Linked DNA regions of Elephas maximus indicus. The protein of the gene in region 3 interacts with the protein of the main gene of each other region in a pairwise test. Links are inferred from orthologs where the notes say so. Each region holds a gene or a part of one and is shown on either strand. Other genes may lie near its edges. The genes, in order: NTAQ1, HNRNPF, TLE5 and cone-rod homeobox protein.

Region 1 (7,445 bases), on a different chromosome or scaffold from region 3:
CACTCTAGAGCCAGGCTCTGCCTATAAATCCCCATTCCTAAATTCACAAGCTAAGTGGCTGTCATGGATTGAATTATGGCCCCCAAAAAATGTGTATCAGTTTGGATGGGATTGATTCCCAGTAGTGTGGTTATCCTCCATTTTGTGGTTGTAATTTTATGTTAAGGAGGATTAGGGTGGGATTGTAACACCCTTATTAAGATCACATCCCTGATCCAATGTAAAGGGAGTTCCCTGGGATGTGGCCTGCACCACCTTTTATCTTACAAGCGATAAAGGAAAAGGAGGCAAGCAGAGAGCAGGTGACCTCATACCACCAAGAAAGGAGTGCCGGAAGCAGAGTGCATCCTTTTGACCCGGGGTCCCTGCGCAGAGAAGCTCCTAGTCTGGGGGAAGATTGATGACAAGGCCGACAGAAAGAAAAACTTTCTCCTGGAGCTGACACCCTGAATTTGGACTTTTAGCCTACTTTACTGTGATGAAAATAAATTTGTTTGTTAAACCCAACCACTTGTGGCATTTCTGTTATAGCAGCACTAGATGACTAAGACAAAATTTGGTACCAGGAGTGGGGTGCTGTTCTAACGGATACCTAAAATGTGGAAGCAGTTTTGAAACTGTGAATGAATAGAGGAGCAGCAGCAGAAGAGGATCGGCAGCAGCAAAGAAACTGCAGCAGCAGGGAAGTGGCTGCAGCAGAGAACCAGCAGCAGCAGAGACCTGGCAGCAGCAGAACCAAGAGACCAGTGCAAGATGGCACTGAAGCAGACCAACAGAGAGAGAGAGCTGAGTGCCTGTGCACAAGAGGCTTCCTAGAGGAGTGGGGTGCCTCCGGGCACTTACCAGTGGAGCTACAGAGCTTTGGAACACTTGCCCCAGAAGGGCAGATGTGGGCGTGAGGCCCTAGGAGCCGAGAAGCCAAGAAACCAGGAAGCAGAAGCTGAACAGACAAGGAACACAAGAAGCCAAGCTGCCTCAGTCTCAAAAGATATGGCCAGGACCTCTGGGATTTCAAAGGATGGAGCCATGGCCTCTGATGTTTCTAAAGGCGGAGTCACCACTCAGATGGACTAGGAGAATGGCGTGCCTAAAGCTGAGGGAGCAGAGTTGCTGTCCCAGTGGGCGTGGAAGGTGGAGCTGAAGCCCAGGGCAGAGGGGCCTCCCCTCAGGATCCAGAAAGTGTGGCCAATACCTAGAGTCTAGAGGGCGGAGCCATTTTGTAAATGGTCTCAGAGAACAGAGGATTTTTTCAAAGACTTTAGGGCTAATATAATGTGTTCTGCTGACTTGTTTGGTGCCTGTTATCCCTTCTTTTCCTCCAGTTTCTCCCATTTGTAATGGAAATGTCTAGCTTGTGCCTGTTCTGCCATTGTACCTTTGTCAGCAGATAACTTGCATTCTACATTTCACAGATGAAGAGGAATTTTTGGATGCTGGACTTGGAGTTAAGACTTGCTATGATATAATGGGATAAATATGCTTTGCATGCTACAAGGATGTGATTTTTTGGGGACCAAAATGAAGAATGTCATGGATTGAACTGTGTCCCCCAAATATATGTGTCGACTTGGTTAGGCCATGACTCCCAGTATTGTGTGGTTGTCCTCCATTCTGTGATTTTAACTTTAGATTAAAGAGGATTAGGGTGGGACTGTAACACTCTTACCGAGGTCACATGCCTGATTCAATATAAAAGGAGTTTCCCCAGGATATGGCCTGCACCACCTTTTATCTCTCAAGAGACAAAAAGGAAAAGGATGCGAGCAGAGAGAGGGCACCTCCTACCACCAAGAAAGCAGTGCTGGGAGCAGAGCGCGTTGTTTGAATCCAGGGTCCCTGCACAGAGAAGCTCCGAGTCTGGGGGAAGAGTAATGAGAAGGCCGACAGAGAGAGAAAGCCCTCCGCTGGAGTTGATGCCCTGAATTTGGACATTTAGCCTACTTTAATGTGAAGAAGTAAATTTCTCTTTGTTAAAGCTATCCACTTGTGGTATTTCTTTTATAGAACTGGATAACTAAGACGGTGGCCTTAGGCAAATTACTTGTCCCCCTCTGTACTTCAATGTCCTCATTTTAAAAAATGGGTGTAACAACAGTACCTCAAACTACTTGGCAAAAGTCAGCCATTGAAACCCCTGTGGAGCACGGTCCTACCCTGACACATGTGGGGTCAAGAGTGGGAATCAACTCAATGGCAACTGCTTTGTTTGTTTGTTTTAATAACATTACCTGCCAGTGAGACTCAAAAGAATTAGACGACATAAACAACCCAGAACAACGCTTGGCATGTAGCAAGTACAATGTAAGTGTAACAGTTATTATTGTTACAGCACAGTGGTTAAGACCATGGTTTCTAGTGCAAGAGGGGATGGACTGGATTCTTGGCTGCTATTAGCTTGGTAACCCTCGGAAAATTGCTTTGAACTCTGTGCCTCTATACTCTTAAAATGGCCCTCACATCGATCTGAAACCATACAGGATTCCACACAGTAGCTTGCAAGGGTTCTCTGCGCTCCACCCTCAGCCTCTAACTTCCCCGTTCCCACTAGGATCTGCTTAAGTCCAGCCAAAAACCGCCAACCAGAAGTAAGGCACCACCACCGACTCTGCCATTCCTGACCAATCCCCCTCATCCTACTGCCCACGCTGTACTCCAGCGGCAAGGGCTGCCGTTCCCGCTCCCTCCACTCCGAAACAGGAAAACCGGCCAGTGGAGGCCCCGAGCTCCAGAGGAGGCCCCGAGCTCCAGAGGAGGGGCCTGGACGAGGCGAGCCCGGCTGAGGCTGGGAGATTCGGGGACCTGCGCCCGCTCCCCTCACCAATAGCAGCTGCTGTAGACACACGCTTCCCGCGGGGGGCCGGCCGGCTGGTACCACGAGGCGGCGGCAGAGGGACCATCCCCTTCCATGACGGCTGGCCGGGGCCGGGGCCGGGGCCGGGCCTCAGGCAGACAAGCTGCACCGATCCAGAGGGCTCGCGGGGAGGAGCCACGGGAGGAGCCTGCCCTCGTTCTTGTTGCGAGAACCAGCGGCCGGGTGGGCGGAGTCCAGGGCGGAGCGGTCAAGGCTAGGAAGAGTGGGCGGGGTCAGGGCAGGGCCTGGGTAGGGCTAGCCGCCCAACCTCTCGGCGCGCGGAGCCTGGGGCGGGGTGGGCGGAGCAGCTTCCGAGTGGTGGAGCCGGGTGAGGGGGGCGGAGCCCAGGGCTGTGCGGCCAGAGCTCGGGGCGGGGAGAGCAGCGCAAGTTCCCGGCGCGCGCAGGTCAGGGGTGGGTGGGCGGAGTCAGGGGGCGCAGTTTCCGGGTGGTGGAGCCAGTGGGCGGAGCTCAGGGTGGGGAGGATGGACAGTGCTGGTTCCTTCTGGGTGGAGCCAGGGGTGAGGTGGGCGGATCCGGAACGAGGTGAGCGGCGTGAGTTAGCGGTGGGTGGAGTCCGGGGCGATGCTGACGGTGCTTGTTCTGTGTAGGTGGAGAGCGGACCGGAGGGTGGACTCCTAGAGGGGCGGAGCTGGCGGCGCGGGTTCCTGCTGGGCGGGGTCTTGAGCGGGGACAGGGGTGCTGCCAGGGACAGTAACGCGGGGGGTCCTGGATGCCTGGGCAGAGAGAGGTCACCAGCGGGCGGCTGAGGAGAGGAGTCGGCAGGGGAAGGCTTGGAGTTGCTAAACCTGCAACCTGGGTGGCGCTTCGCTGTGAGTTTCCCGGAGGTGTCTGAGACCCTTCCCCAACCGGGAACGGGGTTGCCAACTTCGGAGAACTGTATGAGACGCCAAAGACTTTCGACGTGTGCAAATGAAATAAGAGAACCTTTGTGTGAAAATTTAAGCTTTAGGACTTCCAGCCTAGAGTCACTGGGAGCCTGGGGGAGAAGAGAGAAGGAGGAATTCCAAATATTACCACATCAAGGACAGTTTTAGAGAGGGATATCACCCCAAATCAAACCATATTGTACCTTAATTTTTTTTTAATTAGGAAGTCTGTATATACTGACTTGGAAAGACGTATTGATACCTTGATATATTAAGTTAAAAAAAAAAGAAAAAAAGTTAAACAGTCCGCATGGAATCCTTGTGTTAAACATGTATTTGTTTCTTTTTTTTAATTTGTACGTTAGATGAAGGTTTATAGAGCAGATTAGTTTCTCATTAAGCAATTAATACACATTGTTTTGTGACACTGGTTGCCAACCCCATGATATTGAACATCTATTGGATTGTTTGCTGCCAATATTGGAGCCCTGGTGAGACAGGGGAAACCCTGGTGGCATAGTGGTTAAGTGCTAGGGTTGCTACCCAAAGGGTTGGCAGTTTGAATCTGGCAGGAGCTCCTTGGAAACTCTATGGGGCAGTTCTACCCTGTCCTATAGGGTTGCTATGCGTCAGAATTAACTCGATGCACTGGGTTTGGTTTTTTTTTTTTTTTTTGGTTTGGTGAGACAGGTAGGGTTAACTGTGCTGGCAGAAGGAAAGCACTGTTAAAAGATTACCATCTAGAAGTTGGATAAATAGGAACCACACCATGTCAACATGAAATAAGGCTGAAACAACCTGTAAACTACTTTCTCCTTCTTAGTGTTTTTCTAGTCCCTCCCCCCTTTACAGGCTCAGAAGAACAAAATGCGGCCACTGTTTACCCTTCCTTAGCCCTCCAAAGATGGTGATGTAGTGCCAAAGATCAGTGCGCCTGCACTATAATCCCATAGTAAGTGATGCCAAGAGCTGCTGAGAGGACTCCACCTTGAACATCAGCGGGTTCCATCTTGGATTCCAGATGTGCCGGCAACTTAATTAACATGCGCCGCCATTCTGAGAAGTATCTGCCCCTTGAAGGAAGCCCACTAAATATTCGTTACTTCACTGTCTCCACCGAACCCATATAAGCCCTAGCTTTGCTTCCCTCTTCAAGTCAGTATTTTAGAGAGGCTTAGATCCCTGCTGACTCCTTCTGCTTGACTCAAGCAAAATAAAGCTTGTCGAAGGTAAAGTTTGTCTTTTGCGTGTATTGGTACTCAGGAAAAGGCAAGGACCCTTTGTGTCAGATTGGCAATTGGCAACATTGTGGCGCAGTGGTTAAGAGCTAGGCTGCTAACGAAAAGGTCAGCAGTTCCAATACACCAGCCTCCTTGGAAATCCTACCTGGCAGTTCTGCTCTGTCCTGTAGGGTCGCTATGAGTTGGAATCAACTCCACAGCAATGGGTTTGGGGTTTTTTTGGTATGGAAGGAAAGATAGCAAAGTGTTAAAACAGTATTTGTCTCTGGTAAATCCATGCCCATTATCAAGGACTTTCACTGTACAGTTTATAGCCTTCTGTATTGTTTATATTTGCAATGAACATATATAGCTGATCAGAGAATGTCTCATTATACAAGCTGAAATTCTCAGTTTGGTCTATAGGCCGTCTAGAGTCAGATTCTCAAAACCTCATGAGTCCTAAAGGCCGAAAGACCTAAAGACTTTGAGCATAGGTTCTTGTATCAGTTATCAATTTATTGCCTCTTAGTTCCCAATGCACACTTCAATATACAGTGAAACCTGTGAGAGCTGGAACTCTAGGGGACTGCCTTATTTTTCCCAGTCTTGCCAGTTCTCCACCTGTGAAAGAGTGTAGTCATACCACTTTTCTATAGCTGTCTATTGGTGAAAAATTTTTGAGTTTTCTTTCTCTGACAGGTTTCCATCTTACACGGGTTCTGGATTCTGTAGGTTTTACTGTATATTCTTGTTGTTATTAGGTGCCGTCGAGTTAGTTCTGACTCATAGAGACCCTATGCACAACAGAACAACACACTGCCTGGTCCTGCACCATTCTTACAATCCTTGCTGTTTGAGCCCATTGTTGCAGGCACTGTGTCAATCCACCTCATTGAGGGTCTTCTTCTTTTTCAGTGACCCTCTACCAAACATGATGTTCTTCTCCAGGAACTGGCTCCTTCTGATAACATGTCCAAAGTACGTGAGATGAACTCTTGCCATCCTGGCTTCTAAGGAGTACTCTGGCTGTACTTCTTTCAAGACAGATCTGTTCCTTTTTCTGGCAGTCCACGGTATGTTAAATATTTTTTACCAGCACCATAATTCAAAGGCATCAATTCTTCTTCAGTCTTCCCTATTCATTGTCCAGCTTTCACATGCATATGAAGCAATTGAAAATACCATGGCTTTGGGTCAGGTACACCTTAGTTTTCAAGTTTCTTTATTTTTTAACACTTTAAAGAGGCCTTTTGCAGCAGATTTGCCCAATGCAATACTTTGTTTGATTTCTTGACTGCTGCTTCCATGGGCATTCATTGTGGATCCAAGTAAATGAAATCACTGACAACTTCAATCTTTTCTCCATTTATCATGATCTTTGTTTATTGGTCAAGTTGCGATGATTTTTTTCTTTATGTTGAGATGAAATCCATACTGAAGACTGTAGTCTTTTATCCTCCTTAGTAAGTGGTTCAAGTCCTCTTCACTTTCAGCAAGCAAGGTTTTGTCATTTGTATACTAAAAAAAAATCAAACCCACTGCCATCGAGTCGATTCCGACTCACAGCGACACTGTAGGACAGAGTAGAACTGCCCCATACGGTTTCCAAGGAACACCTGGTGGATTTGTACTGCTGACCTTTTGGTTAGCAGTTGAACTCTTAACCACTACACCACCAGGGTTTCCCATTTGCATGTTAAAAAACAAACAAACCCTTTGCCTTCAAGTTGATTCTGACTCAGAGCGACCCTAAAGGACAGAGTAGAACTGTCCCATAGAGTTTCCAAGGAGTGCCTGGTGGATTCAAACTGCCAACCTTTTGGTTAGCAGCCAAGCTCTTAACCATAACCCCACCACGGTTTCCCACCTGTATATAAAAAAAAAAAAAAATTTTTTTTTTTTTAGCAGGTTATTAATGAGTCTTCCTCCAATTCTGATGCCACCATTCTTTTTCATATAGTCCAGCATCTCAGATTATATGCTAAGCATACAGATTGAATAAGTACGGTGAAAGGATACACCCCTGACGCACGCTTTTTCTGATTTTAAACCATGCATTATCACCTTGTTCTGTTCAAACGACAGCCTCTTGGTCTATGTACAGGTTCCTCATCAGCACAATTAAGTGTTCTGGAATTCCCATTCTTCCCAATGTTATCCACAAAATTTATTATGATCTACCTAGTCAAATGCCTTTGCATAGTCAGTAAAACACAGGTAAACATCTTTCTGGCATTCTCTGCTTTCAACCAAGATCCATCTGACATCAGCAATGATATCCCTCGTTCCATGTCCTCTTCCAAAATCGGCTTGAACTTCTGGCAGTTCCCTGTTGATGTACTGCTTCAAATGTTTTTGGATTATCTTCAGCATAATTTTACTTGCATGTGATGTTAATGATATTGTTTGATAATTTCTACATTCCATTGGATAACCTTTCTTTGGAATGGGCATGAATATGAATCTCTTCCAGTCAGTTGGCC
Region 2 (7,946 bases), on a different chromosome or scaffold from region 3:
CCTGTATAAAAACATTACACAATCAGTGACATCTGAACACTGGGTATTTGATACTAAGCAGTTGTTTTAATGTGGTTGTTTTTAAAAATCCTTAGAAGTACAAGCTCAAATATTTATAAATTAAAATGTAAAATAAACTAGGCTGGGCCCTAATCTCTACCTGCCCATCAAAAAGAGCCAGGCTCAGGGCAGCTGTCACCGGGGAAAGGAAGCCCTGTTAGGCCAACCTGAGTCCTTGTCCCAACTGTGTCCCTGGGCAAATAACTTTTCTCCCAGCCGCCGTTTTAACAGCGTACCTCGCTTACATTGTATGAGTATTAGAAAATGCGGTTAAACCTACAGCTGAGTGCCTAGGCCTAGTAAGCGTCAGTTAACGTGGTTCTAGAAAGAGTACAGCGCCACAGCTCAGGTGATGGGGGAGGGGTTGGCGCGATGTCACCGCCTCCGACGCCGGGGCCTTATCTCCACTAGGGGCAGCCACTGAGGACAGGCTAGACACTGAAGTCTCCTCCTGTCCCCATAGCCCCTCCAGGCACCTACCCCGAGAGGATCGAGTCTTGAGCCTTTCTTTCCTTCACGGTTTGGCCACACGCGAGGGGAAACCCTCCCATTTACTCCTTCCCTTAAATCAGTTCATAGTTTTACTTGAATATTTTATGTTTAAAGGAAAGCTTTTAATACTAGCCTTAACTGAAAGAAAAAGTTACTTGGAAGCTTAAAAAAAAAAGGAACAAAAAAGTAAAGATTATCAAAGAAAAAAATAGATTACAACATATAAACAATACGTTCAATTTATAAATATGCACTGGGTATACAAGAATAAAAGATGCTCAAAGCGAAGCATGGATTTAATGTCAGTAATTAATCTCTCCCAATACTGATTAAAATAAACCTACTCCTTATCTTGAAATGAAAAAAATTTTGTCTAAAAATGAGCACCGTAAGTATCACTTTTCACTGATACATCATATCTTTTGTCTAACCGAAGAGCCGGGAATATTTTCACTTACTAAAAACTTTCAAAAACACGCACTGAAAATATATTACAATCAGTTTCGGTGTTTTTTTTTTTTTATAAAAGGTCATCTGTAGTTTTCGCAACTCTCCCCGCGCCAGCAGGTTGCGGCCCCGTCCAGGCCGGGCCACCCCGGGCGGTCCCACCTCGGTCGGCCACGAGCCGCAGGCCCTCCCGCCCTCAGAGTCCAAGCAGCCGCCAGGAGCCCCAGAGCCCCGCAAGCAGCTGCGGAAACTAGAGGAGCGAACCCGCCCGGCCCTCCCGCGGCCGAGTTACTCGCGCACCGGCCGGCCGAGGCGCCCCCAGAAGTCATGCGGACGGAGGGCGCCACGAGGGAGACGGCGCGGCCGGGCGCCCTGCCCCTCCCCCACCAGACGGCGCGGCCGCCTCTTCCGGCGGGAGCCAGGCTCCGGGGCCAGGCGGCTCCTCCGAGCGGCTGCGCCGGCCCGGGGCCTCCCGAAAGGACCAGGAGCGAGGCCTAGAGTGGGGCCGTCCCCGAGCCCGCTCCCCGCGTGGCTCCAGGCCGCGAAAACCGCGCGTCCGCGGGCGGGCCGGGCGCCGGGGCGGGGGCGGGGGTCGGGTCGGGTGGGGGCGGGGGCGGCCGGCGCCATCATGCTCATCAGCACCCGCGTCTGTTATAGCAAACGGACTCGCATGAAGGGAGGCGCCAGGCCCAGGGTCCCGCAGGCCGGCTCGGCAGCCACTGTCCCGGCGGGGAGGGAGCGGGACGAGGAAACGGAAGTGGAGACGCGAGGAGACCGCTCTGCGCTCAACTGAGGCGGGAAGGGCGACCAGAGCGCGGGCTGCGGCGTCCGCGAGTCTCTTAGCAGAAAGTACGTTCAAAGATACCAAGTAAAGGAGAAACAAGGAGCTGACTGAACTCTCACCAAAACTGCGCTCACGAGGCAAAAGACAAGCACCAAAGATTTACATCCGAAAAACGGTGCCTCCACGGAACAGCGAGACACGCAGAGACGGAAGGGCCCAGAGCGGGGCCCCTGAGGAGAGAAGGCTCTGGAAAAAAGTCTCCAAGGGCTGAAAATGGTTCCCGGGAGAGCGAGAGCTGGGGAGGAGGGCGGAGCTGCCGTTTCCCACAGTGAAGTCGTACACTTGAACCCCCATCATGTGCTGCCTGCCTCAGAAGAACGAACTCCTTCCCCGACTACGGCTCCGCACCCCACAAGTGGCGGGCCTGGCTACTCACCCTTCCAGTCCGCTCCGCCAGCCGCGGCCTTACCGGAGCCTTCCGCACACTCTCTGCTCTCCGCCGCGAACTCAAGCCCTTCCCGCCGGGCCCATGGACCCCGCCTACCGATTGCTAAATCCCCCACAGTCCCCACCCCTTGCTGGCCCGTCCCTGCCGCCCCGTCCCCGGGTGTGCGCCCTTGACCTCAGACCCCGCCCCCACGCCTAATCTCGGCTCCGCAGCCCCCACGCCCAATTCTCCCAGTTCCCCGCCCCCGGGTGAGCGCCCTGACCTCGGGCCCCCCACCCTGTCCCGCCCCAGGTCGCCCCTCACCTCGGGCTCGGAGACTCCACGCTCTCGCTCTTCACATCCGGCACTTCCCTCGTCCTGCCTGAGTACCTAGAAAAGGGTGGAACGCGGTGGACTTGGCAGTTGTACCAGAGGCAGTTGAGGCTTGTTTACCATCACCATGGAAACCCCTGCGAGCGCGCCCGGACGCCCCCCCAGGGGGCGGGGCCAAGCGCGCGGGCGGGCACGAGCTTACAACTCCCGCCGCGTCGTGCGCACCCGCGGCTTCCGGGAGGCCCCGATACCATCGGCGTCTCCGGCCCCTGCTCGGCCCCACACCCTAGGCTCCTGAGAGCGGCAGCCCTGGAAGTCTGCACCCTCGCCCGTCTGCCGACTGCTGGCGAGACCGCGGACTCGTCCCCCTCGCTGATCCCCACCTTCAGCTCTCGTAAGACGCGACGCAGTCCTGGTTCCACCGCGGAGCCGGAAGAAGGAAAGGACCAAGGCGGGGCGGGGCCTCCGGGGCGGGCATCTAGGGGGCGGGGCCTCGAGGGCGCCATTGTGACGTTCCCGTAGCGGAGCAGGCGATTGGCCGTGCGGGCGTGGGGCGGGGCTGATGCCGGCGGAGACGAGAGACGCTGAGGCACTCTGGTCCAATGACCTGGACGGTGCTCCTTGGCTCTGCCCCCTCCCTGTGGACTCGACCCGCTCTCCTTCCGCGCGCGACCGGGGTTTAGCGGGCTATTCCGCTCGCGAGGCCTCCTGGGAGCTGGGCGGGGCTGGGGCCGCCAGCGCGCCATTGTGACGCGCCCAGAGCGGAGCTAGCGATTGGCCTGCTGGGGCCGAGGCCTCGGGGGAGCCACTCCGGAAAGCGGCCGCCCGGAGCAGGGACGTTGTGGGGAGAGGCGTAGCGGGACGGGCCAGGCCCTACTCAGGGGAGGGAAGTGGCCCACTGGTCACTGCCGAAGCCCTGGAGGATACGGACTAGGTTAAAAATTATCCCCGATGAAAACAAAAAAAAGAGCCCAAAGGAGCCCTGCAGTGAATAGACGCGTGAGAGAAGAAAATAAGTTTTGCTGAGAGAGGAGACAGAACACCTGAGGCGTAGTAAAGGCGTCTTTGAGTGCTAGGTTTTAAAGCCGGATTAGTCAGTCTGACAGACGTTGCCCACGTGTCCCGTGGCTCGGAATCACAGAGCCCCGGAGCCGATGGACTGAGTGGTTAATGGCTACTCTGCCTGAGGCAGTGAAGCAGATTGTCTTGATCGAGAAAACCCGTTGCCGTTGAGTCGATTCCGACTCATAGCCGGAAAATTAAATAATTTGAGGTGTAATTCCGGCTCATAGCGACCCTATAGGACAGAGTAGAACTGCCCCATAGAGCTTCCAAGAAGCACCTGGTGGATTTGAACTGCTGACCTTTTGGTTAGTAGCCATAGCACTTAACCACTTCGCCACCAGGGTTTCCGATTTTCTTGACAGGTTCCACTTTTGGAACTGCCTTCATAAAGGGAAGATATAAGGTATTTATCAACAGGGTAAGCAGATTTACAGGAAAAAATTAAGGGAGTGCTTGGAATTGTGTCATATTATGAGTGGATGGCCATAATGAAGAAAGGAGTGCAGTTAAAAAAGAAGCTGGCTCCAGGGAAAAAAATAATAGAAAATGCAGGTGTCAGAGGAGGTGCAGATGTGAGGAGGAAATTAATTTGAGGTATAATTCTGACTCATAGTGACCTTATAGGAGAAAGTAGAACTGCCCTATAGGGTTTCTGAAGAGTGGTGGATTTGAACTACTGACCGTTTGGTTAGCAACCAAGCTCTAACCACTGCACCACTAGGGCTCCTCAAAAATTAAATAGGTATTCTTAATAAGAAACCCCAGAAAGACTCCCTTCACAGCACATGTTGCAGAAAGGCACACTCTAGGTCCCACAAAGAGACGGGACTTTAAGGCTGGCTCATAAACAAAGCCCTTCTCTGCCTCCCTTTCCCATCTGAGAGAATGAAGGAAATGAGAAAGCAAATTGAATTGTCCAGTTACAGTATAGGCCCCGTCCAAAGGAAATATCGCTCCTTAAGACCAGGTGCTCTATTAGGCAGTGGCGAGGGATAAGATCCCTGCCTAATGGAGTCAGAAGTTGTAATAAATTTTCCAGGGTTTTATCCCATTTCAGCTTTCATTTTGCAGATAGGAAGCAGGCAGGTTTAGCAGTCATAGCATGGTCTGGTTAACTTTCTGGACCAACACAGAAAAATGCTCCTCTGAAGCAGCACTGCCTGCCCCTTGGTGGTGCAGTGGTTAAAGCACTCAGCTGCTAACCAAAAGGTTGTCAGTTCAAACCTACCAACTGCTCCTCAGGAGAAAGTTGTGGCAGTCTGCTTCTGTAAAGATTTACACCCTTGGGAACCCCATGGGGCAGTCCTACTCTGTTTAGGATGGCTGTGAGTTGGAGTCAACTTGATGGCAGTGGGTTTTGGTTTTGAAAGCAGCACCAGTGCTTATTCACGGAGTGCATCAGCATGAAGGCTGGACCCTTGGATTAATTACAGTTCATTCAGAGGGAACAGCCAAACAGCACTTTCATGTGTGTCAAATAGTGAAAGAGGGGTTACGGCACTCCCCGTGCTTGATGGGTATTTGCTTGAGCTGGTTGCTTTGCACAAGAGCAGACCGCGGTGGACTGGGTAACGTTGGTCAAGTTGGGGACCGTTCCCTTGCGCATTTCCCAGGCAGGCTGGGCTAGAGACTGGAGTCTTGGCATGCACATTAGTGAAATGAGTTGGACGTTAGTGACTCGAGGTCTAGCTCTGTCTCTATTCCAAGTCTTCAGCGTTTTGGTCCAATCATGAGTTTTCCCATTATTAACCGTTGGATGCCTTTACCTCTGCAGACCCTCAGGACCGTCAGAAAACTTCATGTGGATCAAGATGTGCTGGGGGTTGGGGCGGCTTGCAGTTTTCCGTCTCCAACTGTCTCTCTCTCTAAGTAACTAACTTTTTGAAAATGATGGAATACTTAACACATAGGGAAAGTTACAGATAATATTGTAACAATTTTTCAAAGTGTTGTCATTTTGCCCTATTTAGTTGTTTTTGGATAAAAGATTACAGATAAACCAGTGATGTGATTTTTAACTTACTATAATACAGTTTTTGAATGAAGAAATATTTCAAATTTTAAGAAATTTTGGAAACAGTATTTTGGGGTTTATTTATATTAACTGACTCATGGTGACCCCACGTGTGCCAGAGTAGTGTGCTCCGTAGGGTTTTCAATGGCCGATTTTTTGGAAGAAGATCGCCAGGCCTTTCTTCTGCACTGCTTTTGAGTGGACTCGAACCTCTAGCCAGGGGCTCCACCTTAACTTTAAACCAAAAACTTATTGCCATCGTGTCTATTCTGGCTCACAGTGACCCTATTGGACAGTGGAGAACTGTCCCACAGGGTTTCCAAGGCTGTCATCTTTATGGAGGCAGCCTGTCATATCTTTCTCCTTTGAAGCAGCTGCTGGGTTTGAGACACTAACCTGTTAGTTAGTAGCTAAGCACTTTAACCACTGCACCACCAGAGCTCCTTCCACACTAACTTAAAGTAATTTTGGTCTTTATCCTTGATTCCTGAGCAATAGGAAACCCTGGTGGCGTAGTGGTTAAGTGCTACGGCTGCTAACCAAAGGGTCGTCAGTTCGGATCCGCCAGGCACTCCTTGGAGGATGTGGGGCAGGTCTACTCTGTCCTGTAGGGTCGCTGAGAGTCGGAATTGACAGCACTGGGTTTGTTTTTTTTGTTGTTGTTGTTTCCTGAGCAATAACTCTAAACCCTTGGAATTTCTGAGAAATTGAAGTGCTGTTTTTATCTGTAGGAGCCATGGCGGCAAGTGGCTAAAGCCCTCACCTGCTATCCAAAAGGTCACTGGTTCGCACCCACCAGACACTATGAGGGAGAAAGATATGGCAGTTGGCTTCAGGAAAGATTTACAGCATTGGAAATCCTATGGGGCAGTTCAACTCTGTCTTATAGGGTCTCACTATGAGTTGGAATTGACTCCACTGCAGTGGATTTGGTATTGTTTGGGTCGTTGTTGATAGGCCTTCAGACCACACCTGAGAGTTTATGCTAATGTGTGACTCAAGTGAGGGGATTGCCAAACCAGAACGACCACTTTGTGGTATCAGCTGACCTCAAGGGAGACGGCCGTTTCAATGAACCCTGACAAAGGCTGTGGCCACTGAAGTTCCGTGGGCTTTCCGGTTAATGAAAGTGGGGGGTAACTAGTCCCTTCTCGGGACATGGAAGCTTCGCATTGGAGACCTTCCTAGGCCTCCCTTTATGTGTCTTTTCTTTGTGCCGATCCTGATTTGTATTCTTTGTAATAAAGTTGGGATCATGGTATAGTGCTTGCTGTGAATCGTTCCATCGAATTCTCAAGCCCAAGGGAGTAGTGGGAGCCAGCAGGTCAGAAGTGAAGGGGCTGAGAATGCCTGAGCTTATGGCTGGTATCCTGAGGGTATAAAGGGCACCCCCGGATTTGTAGCCAGCAGGTCAGAAGTGATGGGAGCCCTGGGGAGCTGGGGCTGGCATTTGATGTCTTGGGCAGCCTTGGCAGTCTTGAGGACTGTGTCCGTTAACTTGTGAGGTCTGACCTAGCTCTGGGTGGTTAGGGTTGGAGGAAGAAGTGCTGCATGGGCAGCTGATGTCAGAACACAGGTGGCAGAGAAGTGAAAAGTGGGGATTCTGTTTTATGTTGATTATTATCCTTATAAATATATAGTCAGTGGGAAGCACTGATGCGTTGGGAACAGGGAAGTAATAAAAATTTGACTAACAGACCATTGCTTCCTTGCTACTCTAGCTTGTATTTCAAAACCACCATGGTTGGATGGGTGGGAGGGAGCCTGGCACTGAGGCCTGGGCCTCAGCCCCATATTCCCCTCTGAACGCCAGCCTCCTCCTGCCTCTCCTTCCCCAGGGCAGAGTTTCTGCTCCCCAATGGCAAGGGAGCAAGGAGGCCAGAGCTGGCCAGTGGCTCCCGAGTCTCACTCTGTTGGGAAGTAGGGGACAGAAGTGTGGGCCCAGGCCCTGTGGCTTCCAGCCCTCCCTCTGAGAGCTAAGTACGTTCTAAGCATTTTATATTATCTATGCTTTTGTCAGAAGTTCTGTATTTTTTATCACTTGGAGTTTATTAAGCAGCAGTGTGTCCTGCTAACATTTACATTTTGAATACTTTATGAAAAATAAATTCCAAGTTTTATCATGGAAAAATGGAATAAATTTGAGATCTTCATAATAATCCCTCTTACTAATAATGTTGACTTTGAAAGTTTCTGACCTGCGACAGGAAGAAAAAAGTTCATACGTAAAAAGATGAATTGGAATAAAGTGGATTGGTGGAATAATGTGGCAATGAGAGAGGGAGGAGAAAAGAGAAGGGGTAGGGCTTCTCCTTGTCTACAAA
Region 3 (7,410 bases):
CTATTTAGACCGAAGCAAGTAGGGGGTCCCCACGGACTGGCTGTCCCTCCATACCCACCTCAGCCACTCCCATCATACCACAGCCAGAAGGACTGGGTTCATAGCTCAGCCCTTCCATGCTCTGTGGCCCTGAGCAAATTCCTCTCCCTCTCTGAGCCTCGGTTTCCTCCTCTGTTAAGTACCAACCTCCCAGGGTGGGGTTGTACAGATTCAATAAATTAAGACAGTAAAGCTTGGATAACACGGCCTGGCATACAGTAAGCACTCAATAAGTGCTCACGGATCTTACCAGGCTGACCAGGTCACAACATCCCACAGTTCAGAGGTGATCCACAGCTGGAGTTTCTTTGCCCCCCACAAAGTTTATTTTCTTTAAAAACGTGCGTTCGTTGGCAGTTTAAAAAAAGCAATCTTACTCGAAACGCTGGGTCTCTGGCCCTTCTTGAGGAAGGCCTCATTCTGTCTGGTTGATCCTGTGTGTGACCCTGACATGGCAGAACCCCCCAAAGTAGAGCAGGACATTCAGGCCCAGTAGATGGAGAACCCAAAGCTGACAGAGGGGGTCTGGCCTGCCCTCTGGCCCTCGGCCTCTGGGATTGATGACCATGAGGTGGGCCTAGGTCAGGTGAAGCCCCCAAACCCTCCACATGGCAGGACTAATGCAAAGTCCCTGGGGCCTGTCTGGCGAGCTGCTTCAGACCTTTCAACTCCCTGTGCCTCAGTTCCCTCATCTCTAAAATGGGTACAGTAATAGGACTGCAAGAATGAGTGAACAAAAAGATTGCATATTTGTTAAAATAAAAATAAATCGCTATTCCCCTTTCTTCTTGCAGAAAACCCAGGATCCTTTGAAGACCATTTTTGTGGGTGGGAAAACAGGTCCAGAGAAAGTCTCAGCCCCACTAGGATTTCTGGCCATGGGACCCACTTCTAATTCCCAGGTGAGGACCCCTCCATAGCAAAAGGGTTGAGAACTTGCATTCTTAGCCCTGGAGAGACTGGGTTCAAATCTAAGCTTCATCACTTCCTTGCTGTCTACCCTGAGGCAATCTCTAACCTCTCTGAGCCTTCGTTTCCTGATGTAGAAAACAAGGTCAATAACAGTTCCTTCTGCTTAAACCTGACACATGGCAAGCCCTTCAGAAATGTTAGAAGACTCAATTCAGGAGGCAGACCCTCCTTTGAGAATCTGCCAGGAGCCTTCTCCCCAAAACGGCAGAGAAAGAGAAGACTGCAAAAAAAAATTTGGGGGGGTATCTTGGACTCGGAGGGTCCTTCTTGGACTTGGAGGTCTTTTACCTACTGAGGACTGGGGGAGGGCTCTGACGCCAGACAGACCTGTTTTTGGGTAAGTCATTTAACTTTCTTGTGCCTCGCTTTTCTCATCTGTGAAATAGGGTCAATTTGAAGAATAAATGTTACTGCTGGCCAAGTGGAGTCCAGGTGGTGCAATGTTTAAGAGCTGGGCTTGCTAACCACAAGGTCAGCAGTTCGAATCCATCAGCAGCTCCTTAGAAACCCTATGGGGCAGTTCTACTCTGTCCTATAGGGTCACTACCAGTCTGAATCCAACGGACAGATTTAGGTTTGGTTTTTACTAGCCACGTGTTTAGGCTAGAAGCTGGCATACATATGACCCTCTATTTCCATATTTTTAAAGTAGATGTATGGGGGTGGCAATCTCCATTCCAGATAACCCCCAACCCCTGGCTCACCTGTGGTACTGGGCCTGCAGGAGCTGAAACTCGTCTTTGATACGATCGCAGGAGTCAGAGGTGGTGAATTTGAGTTGCTGGGGGAGGTGCGACGAGCCCTGTGAGGAGGGGGCCGCAATTCAGGGCCAGGCAGGCTGGGCTGCCTCCTCCTTCCCCGGGGTGACCAGGGGGCGGCTGCCGCCGCAGCTGCAGCGTCCCCCCTCGTGCCCCACTTCCTGGGCCCATGTTTACAGCCTCTGGCGCGGCTGCCGCCCCCGCTTCCTGCCCCCGCCTCTCCCGGGGGAAGCCGAGGGGGTGGGTGGGCCTGGAGCCGCCCGTCCCCCGCCACCCCCGAGGCTGTGGGGGCGCGTTTTAAAGCCTGCCCTTGATGGGGGGCAGGATGCGCCCCCTACCACCCCTCCAAAGCGCCCAGAGAAGGGGGTGCGCATCGGAGCGCCCCAACCACCTGGAGGGCCGAGGCCTCACTGCAAAGTCCCCTTGGGGGAGGGGCGTCTCCCAGCAACCATAATATTTCAGGGGTCCACACTCCAGGTCCCCAGAGTCCTTCCCCAAGGCCACGCTCTTCCGGGAGGATTGCCCCCCCCACTCCAGGCCCCCCAAGCAGCCCCAGAGCAAGGGGTGACCAGCAGGGTTCCCGGAGCTCCCAGGACCAGGCCAAGACCGCCTACGGACCGGCCTGGCTGGGAAGGGGGGGGCCCGGAGCTGGAGAGGTACAGGAAAGGGGGTACAGGACTGGGGAGCTTCGGGAGATTGGACTGGGAAAGTGTGGGGGGGCCCGGCCCGGAAGCTGGGGGGGGCTGGGCCGGGGAACTGGGGAGGGTGCACCAGGCTAGGAACTGGGGGGGAACGCCGGGCCCGGGAACTTGGGGGGGGACCAGGACCCGGAAGCTGAGGGTATCAGGCCTGGAGTAGGGGCGCAGCGCGCTGGGAGCTAGGGTTTGGGGCGCTGGGCCCAGGAGCTGGGGGAAACTGGGCCCAGGAAGTCGGGGTTGTGGGGGAGTGTAGGGCCTGGAGCTGGGGGTGCCAGGTCCGGGAGCTGGGGGGGTGCAGGCCTGGAGGTGGGGGGGGGGTGTAGACCCAGGAGCTGGGGGGTGCAGGCCAGGAGCCGGAGGGGGCCGCGGCGGGCCGGGCGGGCCCCGCTTACCGAATGCCTGCTTTGTGGAAACATCATGTCAGTCGCGGCGGGGGGCGCGGGCTGCGCCCCGGCTGTGCGCCCCGGCTCGGGCTGCTCGGGGCGCCGGGCGCCGCGCCTTTGTCCCGGCGCCGATCGGCCGCTCCCGGGCCGCCGCCGCCGCCTCGCGCGCCCGGCTCGCCGCTTCCTGCGCCCCCGCCCGGCCCGCCGCGCCCCGGGCCCGCTTCCTGCGCGGCCCGCCCCGCCCCGCTCGCGCCCGCACCCGCCGCTCCTATTGTCTAATGGCGGCGCCGCCGGAGTGGCCGCGGCCGGGCTGCTGCTGCGAAGGCTCCGGCTCCACCTGCTGCCGCCGCCGCCGCCGCCGCTGCCCCGTGCGCGCCGCCGAGGGGGGGGCGCGCGCCCGGGGAGCCCTGCGGCGCCCCACCCCCGCCGCCGCCCGGGCCGTGACCTTGCTCTGGGCCTCAGCCCCCGGCCCCCTCCTGGCCCCTTGGCCGTGGCGGCTCGCCGGGCCTCGGTTTCCCCAACTGTCAGAGGAAGGGGCCAGGCTGCCCTGGTCTACACCGCAGGCCCTATAATGGCGCGCCCTGGACGCGTGCCACCCACATGCTCCGTGACCTTGGCACGGTGGCTGGTGTCTCTGAGCCTCAGTTTCCTCAGCTGTGGAAAGGCAAGTGGGAACCTGCGGCCCTCAGAAGAGTCGTTGCTTCAGTGAGCATTTATGGAGCGCCTACTGTGTGGCCAGGAGCCCTAGTGGCAACGGTTAAAGGTGGGAGGTTGGAACCTACCCATCTGCTCTGAGGGAGAAAGGCATGGTTATCCACTTCCCTACAGATTCCAGCCTAGGAAACCCTATGGGGCAGTTCTACTCTGTCACATGGGGTCACCATGAGTCGTAAATCGACTCCACGGCACACACCAACTGTGTGCCATGCCCTGCTCCAGGCGGTGGGGTGGGGTCCAGATGCCCTTGTGGAGATGACATGTGACAGAAAAGAAACAAATCCTGAGGCCACAACCCTGAGGCGTCAGGTGGACATAAAGGGGTGCAGTATTAAACAGGGGGGTCAGAGAGGGCTGCCCTGAGAAGGGGACATTTGAGAAAGACCAGAAGAAAATGACGGAGGGAGCCAATAGGGGCATAGAGGTGGCACGTGCTCAAGGAGGCAGGAATGGCCAGTGCAAAGGCCCTGAGGCAGGACTGTGCCTGGCACACGGGGAGCCTGGGAAGCGATGAGTACCAGCATCACCCAGTAGCCAAGACATTATACCTAAAAGGGCCAGGGTTGGTTTAATGCTTAGTTGTGACCGTTTTAAAATTATTGATTTTTTTAACAAGGTGATCTGCAGTTTTGATTTGCATTCCAAAAAAACAAAAACAAAAAGAAACCAAACCTATTGCTGGCAAGTCGATTCTGACTCATAGCGACCCTATAGCACAGAGTAGAACTGCCCCATAGGGTTTCTAAGCTGTAATCTTAATGGAAGCAGACTGCCACGTCTTTCTCCCTGAGAGCCGCTGGTAGGTTCCAACTACGGACTGAGTGCTTAACCACTGAGTCACCAGGGCATTGGGCCCCGCAAACTGTAGTGGATCATAGAGGGAGGTGAGGGCAGGGAGGTAGATGATACAGGGCCTCACGAGTGTGGGGAGGACTCGGGCTTTGACCCTGAGGGAGGTGGGACTCTTTGGAGGGCTGTAAGCAGAGGAGAAAGGGAGGGAGGGGCCCTGACTCCCTGACTTGGGTTTTGACAGTATCCCTCCGGCTGCCCCCCTAGTGTTTGTCAGTTTGTTGTACCGTGGGCAGGGCGGGGGGGCTTGCATATTGCTGTGATGCTGGAAGCTATGCCACCGGTATTCAGCTACCAGCAGGGTCACCCATGGAGGACAGGTTTCAGCTGAGCTTCCAGACTAAGACACTAGGAAGAAGGACCTGGCAGTCTACTTTTGAAAATAATTAGCCAGTGAAAACCTTATGAATACCGTATCATATGCGTGTGAAAGCTGGACAATGAAGGAGGAAGACTGAAGAAGAATTGATGCCTTTGAATTGTGGTGTTGGCGAAGAATATTGAATATACCACGGACTGCTAAAAGAGCGAACAAATCTGTCTTGGAAGAAGTACAACCAGAATGCTCCTTAGAAACAAGGATGGCGAGACTGCGTCTTACATACTTTGGACATGTTATCAGGAGAGACCAGTCCCTGGAGGAGGACATCATGCTTGGTAAAGTACAAGGTCAGCGGAAGAGAGGAAGACCGTCAATGAGGTGGATTGACACAGTGGCTGTGACAATGGGCTCAGGCATAACAAGGATTGTAAGGATGGCGCAGGACCGGGCAGTGTTTCCTTCTGTGGTACATAGGGTCGCTCTGAGTCGGAACGGACTCAATGGCACCTGCCAACAACAACAACTCCGGCTACCGCATGAACAGACCCTGAAGAGGCTGCTGAAATGACGTGCGCGTTAACATCAGCCCCTAAGCCATCAGGTCAATTCCACTTCATGGTGACCTCATGTGTTACAGACTTAGAACTGAGCACTGTAACGTTTTCTTGGCTGTCATCTTTACGGAAGTAGATTGCCAGGCCTTTCTTCCTCAGTGTGACTGGGTGAGCTCCAAACCGTCAACCTTTCAGTTGGTTCACCCATTGCCGTTGAGTGGATTTCAACTTGTAGTGACCCTATTGGACAGAGTAGAACTGCCCCATAGGGTTTCTAAGGAGTGGGTGGTGGATTCGAACTGCCGACCTTCTGGTTTGCAGGTGAGCTCTTAAGCACTCCACCAGCAGGGTTGATTGGAAACCATCTGCACCACCCACGTATCTTCAGATTGGCTCCTGGAAAACGCTAAAGACAGGGTCCGTTAACTGTCATCATCATCTATGTAGGCGTCCTCCGCTGTGAATGTAACTCCTTTGGGCCTTGAGTGTTCCCATCTGTAAAATGGAGCATCAGAACCCATCTCCTTTCTGGCAGTTAAGGGACTGGGACTAGAGTGACATGAGTGGGCAAAATTGAAGGGGACACCCCCCCAAACTCCAAAACAAAAACCTCAAAAGTCAAGATAAATAATATTTTAATGCAATATTTTTTAAAAATGCAAAGAAATCTGGGATGGACAAAGTGTCAGCATTTTAAAGAAGGCTCTGAGGGAGCCCAGATCGGGGTGAGAAAAGATTGGAGTCACGTAAAGTGCACTCCTGCCCTAGTACTGACGCCTTAAGAGAAACCGAGTGAACTTTTGTCAAATTCTTCCATATTCTTGTGGGGTTCTGGAATAAGCAGACCCATAAATCATACTGGTGAGGGCTAGCTACAGAATTTGCTGGGCCCAGGGCTAAATGAAAATGCAGGACCTCTTGCTGAAAAACATCAAGAATTTCAAGACAGTGATAAAAACCAAAAGCCAAATCCATTGCCGACGAGTCCATTCTGACTCATGGCAACCCTGCGTGTTACGGGGTAGAACTGCTTTGTAGGGTTTTCTTGGCTGTCATCTTTGTGGAAGCAGGTTGCCAGGCCTTTCTTCTGTGGCCCCACTGGGTAGATTCAAACAGAAACCGTTTGCGCTATCCAGGGACCTTAAGATGGTGAGCTCAGAAAGACAGTTTTAAGGGGTCTTCCTGAGCTCGGGGCCCTGGGTGACTTCCAGGTCACAGCAGAGGAAGCTGGCCCCCTCCTCCAGCCCTGCCATAGGGACTGGACCCCTTTCTCCTGGGAAACCACCTGAATCTGATCTTCATCTAGGCAGGCACCTGCCAGTACCAGGGCACACTCCCATCTTAGGAGCCTCTAGCCAGACACAGACATACCCAGCCCCGAGGGCTGGGCCTTAGAGAGGGACCCACAGTTTGCCTTTGAAGAAGGGGAATTTTGAAGAAGTAATTTTCAGAAGAAAGGGGTTTTCAAGTATATAGAAAAGCCCGGAAGTGTGGCCCAAACTATGAAAAATAATACCCCAACCAACATATGTATGCATTTTTATTACACGCCAGGGTCTGTCTTAAGTGCTTGAATGCTTAGATACTGCCATCATGCCCATTTTAGAGATCGGAAAACCAAGGCAGAGACAGGTTAAGAGATTTGCCCAAAGTCACACAGCTGGTAGGTGGCAGGGCCAGGATTTAAACCTATGAGCTCCCTGGGTAACGCAAACAGCTAAGCGCTTGGCTACTAACCAAAACGTTGGCAGTTCAGAACCACCCCAGGTCACCTCGGAAGAAAGTCCTAGTGATCTTCTTCCGCAAAGTCACAGCCAAGAATACCCTATCGAGCATTGTTCTACTCTGCAACACGGGGGGTTGCCAGCAGTCGGGGTCAACGGAATGGCAACTGGTACTGGAGTCCTTGACCACAACACGGCACTGACCTAGGTGGGCCATGAAGCAGGTGTGGTGGGAGGTATTGGCTGAAGAGGGCCAGGAGCCATGACTATACAGGGCCCTGCATCCTGGGCTGAGGAGTTGGGATTTTGGGGAGCACTAGGTAGTGGCGTAGTGGTTCAGTGCTGCAGCTGTGAACCAAAAGGTTGGCAGTTGGAATCCACCAGGCGCTCCTTG
Region 4 (7,492 bases), on a different chromosome or scaffold from region 3:
TTCATCCATTCAGTCACACATATATCCATCTATCCATCCATCAGTCATACATACATACATTTATCTACCCATACATACATAATATCCATACATCCATCCATCTGTGCATGCATTCAATCAGTTAATAAGCATGAATTAATAAACTATGAAAAAAAAAAAAAACCTATTGCCACTGAGTTGATTCCGACTCATAGCGACCCTACTGGACAAAGTAGAACTGTCCCATAGGGTTTCCAAGGCTGTAAATCTTTATGGGAGAAGATTGCCACACCTTTCTCCCACAGAGCAGCTGGTGGGTTCAAACTGCTAACCTTTCAGCACTGTGCCACCAGGAATCCTTTAATAAACTATAGACATTGTTAACCATCTTCTGCTCCTTTGTGGATACCTCAGTGGAACTGACATTCTAGTTGGGGGAGACAAATTATAAATAAACAGTAGGTAAGTAAATCATATTGTATTTTTGGAGGTGATAAATATTATGGAAGGAAACCACTGAGCAGGATAAGGGGGAGCAGAAGGACTGCAGTGGTAGAAGGTTGCAATTTTACGTGCAATAGTCAGTATAACCAAAAAAAACCTAACCCATTGGCGTTGAGTTGATCCCGACTCATAGCGACCCTATAGTCAGTATTGTATAGGTTTCATTAATAAAACAGCCCTTGAACAAAGACTTAAACAAAGTGATAGGGCAAGCCATGTGGTTATCTGAGGGATAAGCATTTCAGATAGCAGGAACAGAGAGTGCAAAGGTCCTAAGGCAGGCGAATGTTCAGAAGGCACATTAGAGGAAGATCCAGGGGTCAGTGTGGCTGGAGTAAAATGAGAAAGGGTGAGAGTGGCAAGAGAGATCAGTAAAATAATGGGAGGAGGCTTTAGGCCACTTCATAATGTTGGCTGTTACTCTATGACCCCTCCCTCCGCCCTCCCCTGGGTACCAGAAAGGTCCATGGAAGTCTTATATGGTCCAGGAGGAGCCCAGGGACCAGAACATCCCACCTGAACCCTGGACTCAGGCAGGTTGATCTTCAGAGCCACCTCCTCACGGGCATACACATCCGGATACTGGGTCTTGGCAAACAGGGCCTCTAACTCCTCCAGTTGGCTCCTGGTAAAGGTGGTCCGCTCCCGCCGTTGCTTCCTTGGGGCGCCTGAGGTGGGAACAGGAACATGAAGCGCTCAGGCAACCCAGCCTCCCACTCTCGTCCTCTATGGGTGCCAGGACAGCTGGGGTGAGGCTGTGAGGTCGGGTGGGGACTCAAGAAGCCTTTTCTGGGTGTCTATCTGTCCAGACTATGGATGCTCCCATTCCCTGTCCTTCTAGACCTCATTTTGTCCCCCAGAAAATGGGGTACACTTTTTTCATTTTGGGGTTCAGGCCTCATCCTGAGAGAAATTGGTGTTAGCCGTGTAAGGAGGCACGTGAGTTTTTCTTTCCCCTTCTGAAATTTATTATGCACTAAAACTTATGCAGAGAGCCCTGGTGGTGCAACAGTTAAGCACTCGGCTGCTAAACGAAGGAATGGTTGTGGTTCGAACCCACCCAGCAGCTCCGAGGGAGAAAGATGCGGCATTCTGCTTCCATAAAGATCACAGCCTTGGAAACCCTATGGGGCAGTTCTCCTCTGTCCTATAAGGTCGCTATGAGTCAGAATCAGCTGAACAGCACACAACAACAACATCTTAGTACTGCGCAGCTGAAATATGACATTGCTGATGTTCAACCAATTTTAGTTCATAAGAATGGCGATTCCGTGTAGTTCAACATAATACAAAAAGCAGGTATAAGAATAATGCCACAAATGACCGAGTGCTTACTGGGCTTAGAAATAAAGCACTGCTGCTGCTGCTGTTGTTAGGTGCCGTCGAGTCAGTTCTGACCCATAGCAACCCTGTGTACAACAGAACAAAACACTGCCCGGTCCTGCGCCATCCTCGCAATCGTTGCTATGTTTGAGCTCCTTGCTGCTTTGCTAACAGATATAAATTCTTCTTGATTCTCCATCCAGGCTGCTGTCCCCACCCCCACCCTAGAGGGAGCCGCCATCCGAAATTTCTGTGAATGTCCTTATGCTTTTCCACATCCCTAAGCAGTGAATTGTCAACAATCCATCTGTCAGTTTGTCTTACTGTGGTGGCTTGTGTGTTTCTATGATGCTGGAAGCTATGTCACCAGTATTTCAAATACCGGCAGAGTCACCTATGGTGGACAGGTTTCTATGGAGCTGCCAGACTAAGACAGGCTAGGAAGAAGGGCCTGGTGATCTCCTTCTGAATATTAACCAGTGAAAACTTCCTGGATCATAACAGAATATTGTCTGACTGGCTTGCTTTGGACACATCATCAGGAGGGATCAATCACTGGAGGAGGACATCATGTTTGGTGAAATCTACAGCCAATGAGGGTGAAGGAGCCCCTCAGTGAGAAGGACTGGGACAATAGTCACAACGGTGGACTCGAATATGCTGTCGATCGTGAGTATGATGTGGGACCGGGCAACATTTCATTCTGTTGTATGTAAGGTCATCATGAGTCTCAGTCAACTTGACAGCACTGGGGGATGCGAACAGTTAAGCGATCAACTGCTAGCTTAAAAGTTGGCAGTTCAAACCCACTCAGAGGTGCTTTGGAAGACAGACGTGATCTGCTTCCAAAAGGCCTTGAAAATCCTATGGAGCAGTTCTAGTCTGCACACCTGGGGTTGCCATCAGTAGCAATCAACTCAACAGCAACTAACGACTTCTAAGTGACACGTGGTATTGTTTTGCATTTGCAGACAGACACATACAGCTGGTGTATGGCCTTGATGTCACCCCTGCAGGTGCTCATCAAAGAGAGCAAGAGACCCCCAAGAACCCCCCCCAAGAGGTGGGGTCAGCCTGGGGTGGCCTGGATGACTGTACTCACTTGGGTAGGACACAGCCTGGTGCATCAAGTCCACACTGGGACCACCCAGGGCCAAGGTGTTGACGGAATAGTGGGGCCCCGGGTTCATATACGCCATCATGATCTTCCAGGATGCTGGGCTCCAGGTCAGGGGGCCTGCAAGAGAAGAACAGGGAAGCTCAAACGCTTGCCCATGACCTGAGTCTCTGCTTAGTTATATGACCTTGAGCAATCGATTTCGCCTCTCTGTGCCTTAATTTCCTCAACTGCAAAACAGCTCTGTGTTTCCGGCTATTGAAGCCTCACTGAGGTTTCAGCAGAGAGCTGAAGACATCATCCAAAAAAGACAAGCTGCTGGCGAGTTTCTTCTGCTTCATGGCAACCCCATGACATATGCGGTTGAAACACCACATTGCTCACGTTTAGCCTGTAGAAATACCAATTCCATATAGTTCAACGTAATACAAAAAGCAGTTAAAGGATAACGCCACAGATAACTGAGTGCTCACTTTGTAAACCAAGCCAAACCAAACCCGTTGCCCTCGAGTCGATTCTGACTCACAGTAACCCTACAGTCACTTTGCTTGGAAATAAAGTACTGCCGTTGTCCTGTGCAGAGCTGACTCCGCGGCAACGGGTTTGGTTTTATGCGTACGGTTTATAAAGTCACCTGGAACGCTGAAATAGCGGAAACAGAACCAGCCTTGTTCAACCTCAATTGCAAAGGTGCGCATCAAGCCACCCAGTTTCCTCTGCCCTGTGCATGCGCACGCGCACGTCCGCAAGTGACCTGAAAAGCAGCGTAACTATTGACTTTGGGGTTACAAAAAAATGTTAGCGAGGAGGCAGAGTCACAAACACGGAATCAGTGTGTACTTGGTTGTTGTTGAATGCCATGGAGTCGGTTGTGATTCATAGACCCCATGTGACAGTAGAACTGCCCCCTAGGCTGTTATTTTTAGGTGAGCTGTGGTGGCGCAGTGGTTAAGAGACCCACCGCTAACCAAAAGGTCAGTAGTTCGAATCCACCAGCCACTCCTTGGAAACCCTACGGGGCAGTTCTACCCTGTCCTATGGGGTCACTAGGAGTCGGAATAGAATCGAACTGACTCGACAGCAACGGGTTTGGTTTGGTTTTAACCTTTACAGGAGCAGATCACCAAGTCTTTCTCCCTCAGAGCCAGTGGGTGAGTTCAAACGGACAACCTTTCAATTAGCAACTGAGTGCTTAACCGCTGCGCCACCAGGGCTCCTTGTGTGTACATTACCCTTAAAAAAAAGCCTGATTCTGCCACTTCTTTCTCCAAGATCTTTTCTGCCTTATGACCACAGGAGAAGATATTCAGCCTCACTCATCACCAGGAGACGAGGGTGACCACTGGGACAAGGGGCTTCCTATGACGTGGGGATTTCAGCGCTAACACTGGAACAGCCCACAACAAACCGTGATGGCTGGTCACTGTAAGGGAAAGGCACATTAAAACGACAGCAAAGGGACCGTTTTTGACCTATGAGTTGGGCAAAGATCAAAATAGTTGCACTTGTGCACTGTGCACAAGCAGTTTGAGATGGGTGCCTAACCCAAAGGTTAGTGCTTCAACCCCCCACCCAGCGGCTCCATGGAAGAAAGGCCACTTCCATAAAGATTACAGCCTAGGAAACCCTAGGGAGCAGTTCTGCTCTGTAACATACAGGGTCACCATGAGTCAGGGGCTGACTCAACAGCAGCTAACGACAACAGCAGTATTGACTTTCCACTCCTTTATCGGGTGCGTGGCAGAGGAAATTGGAACATACTGGGAGCTTTTATTAAAGTAAAGCACCATCTTTCATTTGTTCTGGCAATTCGCCTCCAGGATGTTCCTCAGTGTCCTCACTGTGAAATGGGGATGAATCTAGCATTTCTAGGTTGTTGTGAGGATCCAATGTTTAAGGTGCATAAAATAGCACCCGATGCACAAAGCAAGTGCCCTACAACTGTTAGACGCCCTGGTGGCGAAACAGTTAAGTGCTCGACTCCTAATCAAACGGCTGATGGTTCAAACCCACCCAGAGGCTTCACGGGAGAAAAGACCTGGCCATCTGCTCCCATAAAGATTACAGCCTAGGAGACACTTCGGGGCAGTTCTTCTCTGTCACATGGGGTTGCCCTGAGTCAGAATCATCTAGATAGATGGCACCCAACAACAACATATAACTCTTGGCGATTATTTTTGTCATTGTTATTTGCAAAAAGAGGTTTGTAAATACTAGGATTTCTAATGAAACATATTTATAATTGACAAAATGTGGAGGCAACCTATATATCCACCCAAAAAGGAAATAGCTAAGTACATTATGGCACATCTATGCAAAGGGATGCTGTGAAGCCAATAAAAAGAATAAGGTTGTTCGGCATGAACTGATTTAAAAAGATCTCTAGTACATAGCTCTACCAACAGTTAAGCACGAAAGGTTAAGCGCTCAACTAGCTGAAAGGTTGGCGATTCAAACCCACCCAGAGGCACCTTGGAAAACAGGCCTGGCCATCTGCTTCTGAAAGGTCACAGCCTTGAAAACTCTATGAAGCACAGTTCTACTCTGACATGCATGACACTCACGACACAAGTTGACAACAACAGATCAGGAATGACTCTTTCCCACTCTAAGCCCCCTTTCTCCTCCACATCCTCCAGGTCTCAGCTGAGACATAATTTCCCAGGGAGCCATGCAATACTCTAAACTGGAGACCGCACACACACACACACACACACACACACACGCACACATTTTCTCTCCCCTGTCCTTCAGGACATGGCGTATGTTATATATAACATATTTCTCCCTGAGATAATCTTTAAACCTTAGACCAAAAATATCCCCTGAAGTCTTCTTAAAACCAAACAATAGCTTAGCTTAACTAGCAAAGAATGTCTGCCTTGAGCATTGTGTTCTTTTAAGAACCATCTACTATATGGGATCAAATTGACAACGGCAACTTGAAAGGTTAGATAGGAAGCTTAGGGGACAGTGAGTTTATGTTAATGGTGGGGAGGAACAATTCGAAAAAGGAGGATGAGAATGGTTGTGCAACTCAAAGAATGTGATCAATGTCACTGAACTGTACAAGTAGAAATTGTTGAGGTGGTGTATGGTCTGCTGTGTATATTCTCAAGAACAAATAAAATAAATTAAAAAAAAATAATGTATTTCTATGTTTGTTTACCTGTCCGTTTCATTCCACTCTGTCAGCTACCTGAGACCAGGGACTGGGCTTATCTCATTTCCTGCGGTATTCCCAACACTCCCAATAAAATAATAGAAAAATAAGTAAATGAATAAAAAATGGATGGCATCTATTTTAATACCTGTTCCCTCCATTCCTTCTCATCCCTGTTCTTTTCATCCTTCTCTTGACGGATATTTTTTATTTATCATCAATTGAGTTTCTCCTGTTCATCCAGTAAATGTTTTTTGAGTGTCTACCATGCCCTGGTGTAAGTAAACCCATTCATTATCACATCACCCCGATTCATTTTCCTCAGCATTCTTAATACTGTCTGATGTTTCCTTCTTCATTGTCAGTTCTCTGACTGAAACCTAGAAATACAATTCCACAAAAACAGAGATGCTGTGTCTTTGTTCTTGCTATATCCCCAGTTCCTAAAGCATGGTGGTGGTGGTATTAGTTGCCATCGGTCAATTCCAACTCATAGCGACCCTGTGTGTTACAGAGTGGAATTGAGCTCCATGGGGTTTTCTTGGCTGTAACCTTTATGGAAACAGATCACCAGGCCTTTCTTCCACAGAGCCACATTTCAGTTAGCAACCGAGCACTTAATCATTGCACCATCAGCATTCCTTATCTTCAAGATGGCTGCCAATAATCCTTGCCTCCTGGTATCCACGCCCTTGTGTGATATCCTCCCACGCTGATTAGGGCTGACCTGTGTAACCTACAGGATATTTCAGGAACGACAAGAGTGTGACTTCTGAGGCTATGTTGTAAAATATATTGCAGCTTCTGCCTTGCTGTCTTGGCTCATCCATTATGGGAAAAACCAGCGGCCATGTTGTGAGGATTCTCCAGCCTCGGTCAAGCCTTCAGATGAGACCACAGCCATGGTCAGCACCTGAATGCAACCTTATGACAGGCCCTGAGTCAGAATCATCCCTTTAAGCCACTCCTGGATTCCTGACTCTTAGAACTTGTGAAATAATAAATGTTTATTGTTTTAAGCTGCTAAATTTTGGTGTAATTTACACATCAATAGATAACTACTACACAAGTCTTCTCTATGCAAAACCAAAAAAAAGCCTGTTGCCATGGAGTCGATTCTGACTCATAGCGACCCTGTAGGAAAGAGTAACCCATAGAGTTTCCAAGGAGCCACTGGTGGATTCGAACCGCCAACCTTTTGGTGAGTAGCCATGGCTCTTAACCACTAAGCCACTAGGTTTCCTTCTCTATGCAGGATGTTATTAAATTCTCAGCTCAACCCTGAGAAGTAGAGACTGTATTACTATGTTCAATTTTATTTTATAAAAATAAAGTATATTTTATAAAAATATATTTTATTTAAAAAATTTTTATTATAATTTCTTTGCTGCTGTTGTTGAGAATAT

The links.
Region 1: the proteins of TLE5 (region 3) and NTAQ1 interact in binary tests that used the Homo sapiens proteins (3 or more experiments, as listed by UniProt). The two-hybrid records come from large-scale screens. The link is inferred for Elephas maximus indicus from reciprocal best matches to the Homo sapiens genes TLE5 and NTAQ1.
Region 2: the proteins of TLE5 (region 3) and HNRNPF interact in binary tests that used the Homo sapiens proteins (3 or more experiments, as listed by UniProt). The two-hybrid records come from large-scale screens. The link is inferred for Elephas maximus indicus from reciprocal best matches to the Homo sapiens genes TLE5 and HNRNPF.
Region 4: the proteins of TLE5 (region 3) and cone-rod homeobox protein interact in binary tests that used the Homo sapiens proteins (3 or more experiments, as listed by UniProt). The two-hybrid records come from large-scale screens. The link is inferred for Elephas maximus indicus from reciprocal best matches to the Homo sapiens genes TLE5 and CRX.

What each region holds. Positions count from the first base shown.
Region 1 is NC_064833.1:19,443,630-19,451,074, forward strand, and holds the start of NTAQ1 (protein N-terminal glutamine amidohydrolase), read right to left. Parts: upstream 3,016-7,445; 5' UTR 2,908-3,015; coding exon 2,819-2,907; intron 1-2,818. UniProt on the Homo sapiens protein: Mediates the side-chain deamidation of N-terminal glutamine residues to glutamate, an important step in N-end rule pathway of protein degradation.
Region 2 is NC_064834.1:6,680,484-6,688,429, reverse strand, and holds the start of HNRNPF (heterogeneous nuclear ribonucleoprotein F), read right to left. Parts: upstream 3,012-7,946; 5' UTR 2,927-3,011; intron 2,601-2,926; 5' UTR 2,535-2,600; intron 2,317-2,534; exon of another isoform or gene 2,220-2,316; intron 1-2,219.
Region 3 is NC_064821.1:6,146,857-6,154,266, forward strand, and holds the start of TLE5 (TLE family member 5), read right to left. Parts: upstream 3,005-7,410; 5' UTR 2,887-3,004; coding exon 2,860-2,886; intron 1,814-2,859; coding exon 1,716-1,813; intron 1-1,715. UniProt on the Homo sapiens protein: Transcriptional corepressor. Acts as a dominant repressor towards other family members. Inhibits NF-kappa-B-regulated gene expression. May be required for the initiation and maintenance of the differentiated state.
Region 4 is NC_064829.1:101,073,870-101,081,361, forward strand, and holds the start of cone-rod homeobox protein, read right to left. Parts: upstream 3,009-7,492; coding exon 2,909-3,008; intron 1,152-2,908; coding exon 1,000-1,151; intron 1-999. UniProt on the Homo sapiens protein: Transcription factor that binds and transactivates the sequence 5'-TAATC[CA]-3' which is found upstream of several photoreceptor-specific genes, including the opsin genes.